3 linked regions of the Macaca fascicularis genome follow. The protein of the gene in region 1 interacts with the protein of each later gene in a pairwise test. Links are inferred from orthologs where the notes say so. Each region holds a gene or a part of one and is shown in the gene's direction. Other genes may lie near its edges.

What was found.
Region 2: the proteins of PGBD1 (region 1) and ZNF24 interact in binary tests that used the Homo sapiens proteins (3 or more experiments, as listed by UniProt). The two-hybrid records come from large-scale screens. The link is inferred for Macaca fascicularis from reciprocal best matches to the Homo sapiens genes PGBD1 and ZNF24.
Region 3: the proteins of PGBD1 (region 1) and ZNF496 interact in binary tests that used the Homo sapiens proteins (3 or more experiments, as listed by UniProt). The two-hybrid records come from large-scale screens. The link is inferred for Macaca fascicularis from reciprocal best matches to the Homo sapiens genes PGBD1 and ZNF496.

Annotation. Positions count from the first base shown.
Region 1 is NC_088378.1:144,899,796-144,903,546, reverse strand, and holds the start of PGBD1 (piggyBac transposable element-derived protein 1), read left to right. Parts: upstream 1-1,353; 5' UTR 1,354-1,773; intron 1,774-3,610; exon of another isoform or gene 3,611-3,630; 5' UTR 3,631-3,669; coding exon 3,670-3,751.
Region 2 is NC_088392.1:54,500,643-54,504,393, forward strand, and holds the start of ZNF24 (zinc finger protein 24), read left to right. Parts: upstream 1-1,602; 5' UTR 1,603-1,699; exon of another isoform or gene 1,700-2,304; intron 2,305-3,591; exon of another isoform or gene 3,592-3,751. UniProt on the Homo sapiens protein: Transcription factor required for myelination of differentiated oligodendrocytes. Required for the conversion of oligodendrocytes from the premyelinating to the myelinating state.
Region 3 is NC_088375.1:1,757,294-1,760,944, forward strand, and holds part of ZNF496 (zinc finger protein 496), read left to right. Parts: intron 1-57; coding exon 58-241; intron 242-3,651. UniProt on the Homo sapiens protein: DNA-binding transcription factor that can both act as an activator and a repressor.

The DNA of each region.
Region 1 (3,751 bases):
CAGTCTGGGCAACAGAGCAAGACTCAATCTCAAAAAAAAGACTTTGTTTCATGTACAGAATTATTTAAACTGTATAAAATTAGCTCTATGTGAGTAAGGTATATATGAAACAAATGAATTTCATGTTTAGACTTGGGCCTCATCCCTAAGATATTTCATAATGTATGTATATATTCCAAAATCTGAAATTGGAAACACTTCTGGCCCCAAGCATTTCAGATAAGGGATACTCAACTTGTTGTTGAAATCGTACAATATGTAGCTTTTCAGATTGGATTCTTTCACTTTCTAGTATGCACTAAAATTTTCTCCATGTCTTTTCATGCCTCGATAGCTCATTTTTTTCATTTTTTTCTTGTTTTCTTTTTCTTTTTTCTTGTTTTCTTATAAACAGATGTTTATAGCAGCTTTATTCATAATTGCCAAAACTCAGTGGGTAAATGAATAAATAATGGGTCTGTTTTTAAAAGAGTGTTTTATATTTTTACTATTGAACATCTTTTCACATGTTAATTTGTCACTTACCTTGTTTTGTGTATAGTAACATTCATATCCTTTACTGATTTTTCTACTAAAGTCTCCTTTTACTCTTAAACAGAAGTGCCCTTAAAAATCAAATAGGGAACTTGCATATCAACATTTTAAATGCATATGTCCTTTGGCTGATCAGTTCTAATATGTGGCATTTATCCTAGAAATACATTCTTAAAAGAATGTAAAGGTATTGAATGATGTTCCCTCTAGCATGGCTTTTAAAGAAAAAATATAACCTAAGTATGCATCAATAGGATAGTTAAGTAAATTATGGAACACCCATACAATATTACTTAGCTGTTAAAGAATAAGCTGATCTGTGAAGATCTCCAAGCTGTCTTAACCGAAAAGAGCTAAGGTGCAAAATTACATTATGATACCATAAGTGTTTTTAAATGTATAAATGCTTATTCACTAAACAAAATGTTTATTACATGCTACTGTGTGACAGGTAGTGTCCTAGATAAATATGCACAAAATACAATGGTTAACTCTAAAGAGTGGGACATTTTTCGTTTTATGGTCCTTCTGCAACTTGACTTTTTTATTGTACGTATATTATGTATACTTAAAATAATTTGTACAGCTTACTATAATGGTCTTTTAATTGATCTGTTTCGCCTCCTAACCAGTGATGACCCCGAAGACAGACATTTACCACTCTGTTGGTTTTTTATTGAAATGATGTACATAAATGTGGGGCGTGCTTGCACCGTCCGGATGGGCCTGAGGTCCGGCAGCGGAGAGCGACCTGGGCGGGGCGGGAGGTGGCAGTGGGGGTCCTCCCGGATCACCAGAGAGACGAGCGGCCGTGCTCCTAGAGAGGCAAGGAACCCGCCAGACTCCGCCACTCGGCTGCGGGCGCGGCGAGTGGAGAAGCTTTTGTGCTGGCCCAGCTGCCGGAGGCGCCGGCGACACCCATCAGCCCCGCCAGCCCGCCAGTAGCACGGCTTGGGCTCTGGGGAAACCGGCGCTCTCGACTGGGCAGCCCCGGGCCTCTGCGCTCCCTCGGGAGCCTTTCACGAGGTCGGCTACGTCTTTGTTGTGCGCGTTCCTGAACTTTTGGTCCATTAACCAACAATTAGACACGCAGGTATTCAGTGCCTGGCGCGGTGCTAGATGCTGGGTGTAATCTCAGAAAAATACATTCTGGGGTGCGCCTGAGGGTGCTGGCTGCTGGCATCTCAGGTGCTTTACGTGCATTCGTGAAGAAGTCCATCAGTATTTGTTGAATACCAGGTACGTGCCGGGCTTGTAGAGTCTATGCAGAGATAAACTCCTGTCCTCAAGAACCCGGGTGGGGATGGGCTGGGTGATCTGTAATACGAGATGGAGGAGATGAAGGTTGGGAGCAGTTTTCCATGGGAACACCCATCTCTATCTGTGTGGCTTACTTTTCCTGTCTATATGTTAGGGTTAGGGGTGGCCAGGGAAGGTTTCACATAGAACATTTGCGCTGGCCCTTGGGATTTTACCCTTAGAAGGGGGGTCCTGACTGTATAGAGTGGGTGGAAAAAAAATTGAGTACTTAGCATGGCAGTGAGATAAGGAATTTGGGAAGACCATGGCTTTCTTGAAAGTAGGAACTAAGTCTTTTATTCCAGAGTTAGCTTTATGCCTGGAAAACAATGAGATGCTCCACAAATGTTTATTGAGTGACAAACAAATCAGCAAAATCCAGTAAAGATTAGATCCTGGAGAGTTTGAGTTTACTTCAACGAGTTTAATGAAAACTTTGTATGTGTTTATGTGTGTGTAAGGTATGTTGAATATGGTCAGAATTGTGCTTTAGGGAATATTAATCCAGTGACCATAGAAGCGGGGAATTGGGCAGGAATACCATAACATTATTGTGACAGTGAATGAAAATGATAGTAAAATAATAAGGAAAGAATGGCTGCAAGAGGCATTTTTAAGAATTGACTTGATTCACTGATTGTATATAGAGGCTGTTTAAAAGACTGAATGCATGGAAGATGATGGTGATGCCAGTAGAAATGGAGAAATACGGAGTGAATGCAGCTTTGAGGAACTCTGATCTTAGTTTGAGATCTGTTGAAATTATAGTGCAGGAGAAGCCCACAGCTGCTGGCATTTCAAGATGTGGGTTTGGAGTGCAAAAAGCAAGCTGGAGCCAAAGATTTGAGTCTTCTTGGGAACAGAGATATATTGAAAGTGTGACTAAGGAGATCACAAAGGAAAAAATGAAGAGAGGGAAGAAAAGAACTTGATGCATTTCTACTGTTTCAGTTATGTGTTGTTGCATCAAAAATCAAACTCTAAACTTAGTGGCTGAAAACAAGCTCAGCTTATTGTTCCTCAGGATTCTGCAGGTTGACTGGGTAGTTCTACTGGTCTCACCTGGAGTTACTAATAGAGCTGCATTCCGCTGGTGAATTATTTGAGCACTAGGCCCGGCTGGGTTTTAGCTTGGTCATTTTGGTTCTCATCCACATGACCTCTGTCTAGCTAGCTTGGGCCTCTCACAGCATGGCAGTCTTATGGCAGTGAACCAAGAGCTACAGCAGCACTCTCTCTCTTACAATGTCATTTCTGCCGTATTCCATTGGTCAAAGCAAGTCATAGGCCAGAACAGATTCAAGGGAAGGAAAAATAGACTCCACCCCTTGATGAGAACAGTGGCAAAATCTCATCACAAAAGGTATTTGAGGATGGGAGACTTTGGAAGCAGTCTATTACACCTACATTTAAAGCGGAATATTCAGTGAGAGTTACACAGATATAGATGACCTTTGAGACTGTATTATTTGCCCATGAAGGCAGCCATCTGCCTCCTCAATGGGTAAAATGATCCCTTCTCCCCAGCTAAAGTGCAAGCTTCTTGAGCATTCTTATTGCTAACGCTTCTTCCCTCATATCCTACATCCCTTACCTCTGGACTCAGACCCTTTAGTACTAGTTCAAAACATACTTCTGATTCATTTCACTGAGAAATAGAAGGAAGCAGGCTCAGCTTTTGAGCACTACCTACAGTGGGTACAAAAATATAAGTAGATTACATACAGTTTTGAAGGTCTTAGAATTTGTGTGTTGCTGATCAATTCTTATGCCTCAGATCTCTATTTCTGAACACAGACCCCCAAGCTAAGTGAAGCTTTAGCCTCTAAACTCAACATGTATGAAGCTTTGCCAGGCCCTGCTCCTGAAAATGAAGATGGCCTTGTGAAAGTGAAGGAGGAAGATCCCACCTGGGAGC
Region 2 (3,751 bases), on another chromosome or scaffold:
ATAATCACAGGAAAAGGTTTTGTAAAACTTTGCAACATTTTTAACTTCCCCAAGGTTTCGTTTGAGATTTTTGTTTTCCAACACTAATTAGATGTAAAAACTCATAAAACAAAAATGACTTCAGCTAGCCTTTATGAATCAGAAAAGAGGGAAAAGTTGGGAAGAGCAGCCAAGCTGCTTGGGGGCCGTATCCAAGTAGCAGAGTGAAAAGGCTGGATTTCTGAAGCTTCCTGCAATGAAGAGAGAAGTGTTAGCACGGGTTGTGAGAAAGGCTCTGGTCGGAGTGAAAAGCAATGGTATACCATCAGCTGCTGGCTTACTTGCTGTCTTCATGCACGAACCCAGCAGAGCCTGACGGCACTTTGCAGAGGGCATTTTCCCGAATGAGGCAAAAAGTCAAAGCCTGAGGAACTTGAAATGCTTATGTTAGGTTGGATCTACACTTTTGACCAGTCCTTAAACAACAGGGCTCCTTTGTGTGGTGTCTGATGCCAATCATGTGACCTAACTAAAGGCAGCGATGTAACCATCCCACAATTCATTTATTTATTCAACAAACATTTATTGTGTTCTCTATTTACCAGGCAGTCAGCTTCCGGGGTCTAGGCTGGGATGCTGTGGTGAACAAGACAGTCAAGGTCCCTGCCCTTAAGGGACTTAAAGGCAAAACAAAACAAAAAACAAGTAAATAAATGAGATCACTTCCATTAATAATAGTGCCATGAAGGGTCATGTGTCATGAAAGGCTGGCGGTGAGGCTGAGGATCTTGGGCCACACGGAGCTGAAGAGCTGAGGTGACTGGGGGCGCCAGGGTCTGGGGGTGCGGGCAGGCAACAGACCATGGGGGACTTACAAGACATTATAAGGAGTTTTTATGTCATAAATTATTATGGCATAAATTGGAGGGCTTTAAATAGGGGAGTGAAGTGGTCTGATTTGTAATAAATGATTGCGTCAGCAGCTGTTTTATGGTATAAAATGCCCAGCTTGAAGATGACCATGCATTCTACAAATTCACCGTGACATCGTTGCCAAAACCCTTAACCTGTCTCATCTAGTTTTCCTGACAAATAGGTCAGAATAAAGCTCCGTGACATAACTAGTGGGAGCCAAAGATTTGAATCACGTCTTGGTTTCAAATCTTGCTACCCACAAATGAGTTGTGAGCTCTTGTCAAGTTACTTACTGTATTTGTGCCTCAACTATCTCAGCTGTGAAATGGGGATAATGAAAGTTCCTACATCATTTATTTGTGAAAAAATAAATGACATGTAAAGCACGACGAGAGCGCCTGGCACAATGTAGTAAGCTTTCACAAATACTCGCTTTTATTCCTTCTTGCAGGGAATTACTTAGAGGATCCACAAGATAATGCACGTGAAAGGGCTTGCGAAACTGTAAGGACTATCTTAATGGTAGAGTCCTCTACTTTTCTTTTAAACGGTCCAGAGGACGCTAGGCTGTTCGAGGCGCGAGGCCAAGCGCAGCCTCAATGCGGTCATTGTCGTGGGGCCGCCCCTCCCCCGCCCGGGGAGCTTCTCCATGGCAACGTGGGCTTTACCTCTCCCCGCCTCCTCAGGCCCGCAGACCGGAAGCAGCCCGTGCCGGGGGCTTCTGGGAAAAGGCTTGTGAACGGTGTTTCTGCGTCTGCCGTGGACAGCGAAGCTGCTGCGGTTCCTGAGCCAGAGGTTTGCGCCGGTGTGCGGGGAACGTTATGGGAGGGAGGGGGACACCGGGCTAGGGTCTGCGGACCTCTTAGCAGGAGTCGGCGGGGAAGCCTTCCCGGGACCTTCCTCAGCTTCCCGGGAGGCGCGGGGAATAGGCCGCGCTCTCCGCGCCTAGCAGTTGTGGGGCGGGGAGAGGTAGGCGGCAGGCTTGCTTGGGTCTTCGGCGTCTGCAGAGTGCTCTCTAACCCCCGGTGTCCTCCGAGACCCTCACCTTCCCCCTCCCCCACCGGCCGGTTTTGTTCTATTTCGAGGCCCTGGCGTCTCGCGGAGGGTTCTGGGAGTCGTGTTGGGAGGAGGTGGTATGGGGCGAGACTTGCGCGGGGCTGTTGGGATTTGTAGTCCCACCGGCCGCAGGCGGAAGTGCCGTGGTTCCGACGCTGTTGTCACAGGGTGGTCTTTGGTCATGTGAAATCCGCTGTCCTGAGTGCTGGGAAGAGGGGCTAGAGGACTGGCCGGGATCGGGGTACACAGCAGGTCTATGCAGCAGTAAGGTGGGCGATCACCTGGAACGAGGTGCTCTGACCAAACATTGTCGGGACCGTTGGCCTTCCCTCCATTTCCCACAAGCAGTATGCTCTACAGCATGAAAGGAAGAGAAATATATGTAGAAATAGTTGCACCGTTGATAAGCAGGGTCTTGGAATAGGCACAAATCAATGTTGGCTAGACCTTATTTATAAGGCCACCACACTCCAGGGTATTTAATTAAACCAGTATGTATTACTTGTCTGATAAGGCCTTTTCTGATTCCAGTCTTCATCTTGCTTGGGTTACGATAAGTTTTTTTAAGTTGTTGTTCATAGGCTGCATGGCTCATTGCTAGTATGTGTCGTAAACAACAGCACGGGCATGATAGTGCAAATAATAAAGGTCCAGAAACAGCATACAGTTTCCCTGAAGGTAGAACTGGGGAAACTGTGAGTCATCCAGTGTAAGGACAAGACACTGGACCACTGCAAGAAGTTAAGGTGCTAATGCGAGTGCCTTTTCTTAATAGAATTTTCTGTGATTAATGCCTATCATTATAAATATAAATGTACGTATGGTGTGGTGGAAGACTGAATATTTACGTATTATGTGCAAGATAATTTTTCAAAATATGTGATCTGTTTTTCACATATGATCTTTTCAATATTATGTGATCTGTTACTCAGCAAGTGAACATTTTTTCCACATATATTTTAAGTCCAAGGAGTTCTTAAATACCTTATTTTTTAAGTGGTAAAATTTTTTTAAGCACATAATAATAAAGCAAACCTTCGTTTTGGTTGAAACAGGGTTTCACTATGTTGGCCAGGATAGTCTCGATCTCTTGACCTCGTGATCCGTCCGCCTCAGCCTCCCAAAGTGCTGGGATTACAGGTGTGAGCCACTGCGCCAGGCCCAGCTTTTTGCTATTTTTAAATTCATTTTTTAGAGACAGGGTCTCACTCTGTTGCCCAGGCTGGAATGCAGTGGTGCGATCATAGCTCAGTGGAGCCTTGAACTCCTGGTCTTTAGTGATCCTCCTGCCTCAGCCTCCTATAGTGCTGGGATTACAGATGTGAACCACTGCACCTAGCCAGTTTTTATTTTTTTTTCCTTTTGGAACTTTTTTTGTTAAAAACTAAGACAAACACATGCATTAGCTTAGGCTTACACAGGGTCTGGATTATCAATATCATTGCCTTCTGCCTCCCTATCTTGTCCCACTGGAAGGTTTTCAGTAGCAGTAACGTGCATGGAGCTGTCATCTCTGTGATAACAGTGCCTTCTATAATAGCTCCTGAAGGACCTGCCTGAGGCCATTTTGCAGTTAACTTTTTTTTTAATAAGTAGAAGGAGCACACTCTAAAATGTATAGTATGAAAAGTATAGTAAATACATAAACAAGTAACATAGTCGTTTATTGTTGTTATCAAGTTTTATGTACCATACATAACTGTATGTGTTAAACTGGCAACACAACAGGTTTGTTTACACCACCATCACCACAAACATGTGAATAATGCATTAACCTTACAACAGCTACAGTGTCACTAGG
Region 3 (3,651 bases), on another chromosome or scaffold:
CCAGGGAGAGATGGGACCTCTTTGCCTAGCTCTGAAAAGCTTTCTCTGGGATTGCAGCTCAAGCACTGTGAAGACCCTGTGGTGATTGATGATGGGGACAGCCCTCTGGACCAGGAGCAGGAGCAGCTGCCGGTAGAGCCCCACAGCGACCTTGCAAAGAGCCAGGATGCCCAGCCCATAGCCCTGGCACAGTGCCTGGGGCTCCCAAGCAGAGCACCAAGCCAGCTCAGCGGGGATCCAGGTATGCAGCCCGGGGAGTAGCAGGGGTGATCTGGGGGAGCGCACACCACACACTATACACTGGGGTGGTTTTTAAGGTGATGGCTTTTGCATCAGCAGTTTTCTCCTGTTCCCTGAGGGGCTGTGAGCTGTTATCAGGGTCTGAGTCCCTTCCTGGAGCAATTAAATGAGAATCTCATCAGGATGTTTGTTCTCTTCATGGTTCTAGATCCTCTCAGAGCTAACTCTTCTGTAAGTGGGTGTCACTGAGGTGGTACCCTCTCATCTCTTTGAGGATGCATCTTTGCAGGATTTGTCAGTTTGATGACAGCTAGGGCCTGCTGCATGAATGGAGCATGGCCATCTCTTGTCTCTTGGAACCTCTGTTTCTTTGGCTAAACAATTCCTATTTACAGGAGCATTGTGATTCTGCAAAGACATATAAAAATACTTTGGAGAACAGAGGATGGTATCTAGTGTGTGGGACCAGAACATCAGCTAGACATGGTTTGAGTATGTGTATGAAGTACATGGTTGCTACAGAAAAGTAGTTTTGTCATCAGATAAACTTAGATTTGAATCTTCTGGGTATGACATGAGGCATGCTTCTAAACTCCGAAAGCCTCAGTTTCTTCCTCTGTCCAACGGAGATAGCAATTACCTTTTTTGGGGTTTTTGGATGGTTAAATGAGATACAACCTATAAAAGGCTGAGCACAAAGCCAGAGATGCCCAAAACTTTTTTTTTTTTTTTTTTTTTTTTTTTGAGACGGAGTCTCGCTCTGTCACCCAGGCTGGAGTGCAGTGGCGCAATCTCGGCTCACTGCAACCACCACCTTCCAGGTTCAAGCAGTTCTCTCGCCTTAGCCTCCCAATTAGCTGGGTTATAGGCGCTTGCCACCACGCCTGGCTGATTTTTATATTTTTAGTAGAGACGGGGTTTCGCCATGTTGGCCAGGCTGGTCTCGAACTCCTGACCTCAGGTGATCTGCCTGCCTCGGCCTCCCAAAGTGCTGGGATTACAGGCGTGAGCCACCGCGCCTGGCCGCCCAAAACTTTTAAGTACATATCATGGGAAACCAGTACTCTTGGGTTGAAGGAAGTCTGGCACGTGGGTTCCTCTGGGTGGACTTTCCACAGTGCTCTGTAGGTACAGTGGAAAGAGAGTGTCTAGGGGGCCAGGGGGGCTTTCTTAGGACTCTGGGTGGACTTGCCACAGTGCTGTATAGGTACAATGGAAAGAAAGTGTCTGGGGGGCCAGGGGGCGTTCTTACGATTTGCAGAAGTTGTGTTGGCCTTATGATAAGCTTTTCAGTAATAAAACCAAAATGCCTATTAAATATCTCTGTGTGGAAAAACTATAGTGACTCCTGTACAAATCATACAAACTCTTCAGCCTTTTCTTGCTCGTAAGTCAAGATTGGTGTGTCGTTTGCTGCCATAACAAAGTACCAGAGTGGGTGGCTTATGTAACAGAAATGTATTCTCTCACAGTTCAGGAGGCTGGTGTGTTGTTTGCTGCCATAACAAAGTACCACAGAGTGGATGGCTTATGTAACAGAAATATATTCTCTCACAGTTTAGGAGGCTGGAAGTCTGAAGTCAAAGTATTAGCAGCCTTGGGTTCTTCTGAAGCCTCTCTCCTTGGCTCTAGACGTGCCTAATGTTAACACTAAGAGAAGTTTGCAGATAGGCATTTAGAAGGAGCTAGGGGCTGAGCGCAGTGGCTCACGCCTGTAATCCCAACACTTTGGGAGGCTGAGGCGGGCGGATCACCTGAGGTCAAGAGTTTGAGACCAGCCTGGCCAAGATGGTGAAACCCCATCTCTACTAAAAATACAAAATTAGCTGTGTGTGGTGGTGGGTGCCTGTAATTCCAGCTTTTCGGGAGACTGAGGCAGGAGAATCACTTGAACCTAGGAGGCGGAGATTGCAGTGAGCTGAGATTACGCCATTGCATTCCAGCCTGGGTAAAAACAGTGAAACTCCGTCTCAAAACAAAAAGAAAACAAAACAAAAAAAAAGGAGCTGGGAGGGGAAGTCTCTTATGCCACTGGCTCTCCTTGGGACCCGTAAAAACCTATGAATATCTGGCCCTGAAAGCTGACAACAAGCTTTGTGCCAGGACTCTTGGTGACGGGCAGTTTTCTTTCAGGGAGAGGAAGAGGAAGATGTTTACACTAAGAGAAGTTTGCAGAGCGAGTGTAACAGACACCTTCTCTCTCTGGGTCTCTTACATGGTCTTTCCTTTGTGTGTGTCTGTGCTTTATCTCCTCTTCTTGTAAGTACACCAGTCCTATTGGATTAGGGCCCACCCGTATGACCTGATTTTATCTTAATGACCTCTTTAAAGACCCTGTCTCCAAATACAGTCGCCTTCTGGGGTACCTAAGGATTAGGGCTTCAACATAGGAATTTGAGAGGAGCATAACTTAGCCCGTAACAACAGGCATAAGGGAAGCAGCCAGTCACCCACATAATGCACGTGCAAGTAGCTTGGGTTATGCAGGAAGTGGGGGGCTGTGAGAGGCCTTGTAGTGGGGTCTGGGAAGGCACGCAGGAGGAGGGGAAGAGTTTCAGGAACTACAGCAGCCTGTGCAGTTGCTTCTTGATAAAGTTCTGAGATAAGCCAGCAACCACAGATGGGGTTTAGGAAAACAGGGCCAGCTCTCCCATTTCCATGAGCAATTATCAATAGGCAAAGTAGGTGTGACAAGAGTTAGCAGTCAGGAAAACCTTAACTATTAGGACAATTTATCATTGGAATGCACTACCCGTCATAGCTGTATAGTTCCTCATCTTGAAGATCTTCCCCACAACCTAGGTTCTGTGTAGGGTCTGCAGCTCTCCAAAGTGATTCTCGAAAGGGTCCATGTATTCATTTATCGGGGCCAAAGGTAGGGTGGGGCTACATATTCATATATATATCTGGGATAGCTGCATATCCCAGAAGGTGGCAGGTGTGAGGAAGCAGAACTAAAATACCACCTGCTAGCCAGGCACAGTGGCTCACGCCTATAGTTCCAGCTACTGGGGGCTGAAGCACAAGCATCGCTTGAGGCCAGGAGTTTGAGACCAGCCTGAGCAACATAGTGAGAACCCACCTCTAAAAAATAAAACATCCCCTCTGGGAGATGTTGGTCAAAGAGTCGAAGTTTCCATTAGATAAGATGAATAAATTCTGGAGATCTATGGTACAGCATGGTGATGTTGATTAAAAATAATGCATCTTATACTTGAAAATTGCTAAGAAAGAAATGTTCTCATCACAAAAATGTATGAGGTGTAGATTTGTTAATTAGCTTAATCATTTCACAATGTATAGTTATCATATTGTACAGTTTTCATACATACAATTTTTGTCAATTATACCTTAATAAAACTGGGAGGTAAAAGTAAGTTAAATAAAGATGAAGATAGAAACTTAAAATAG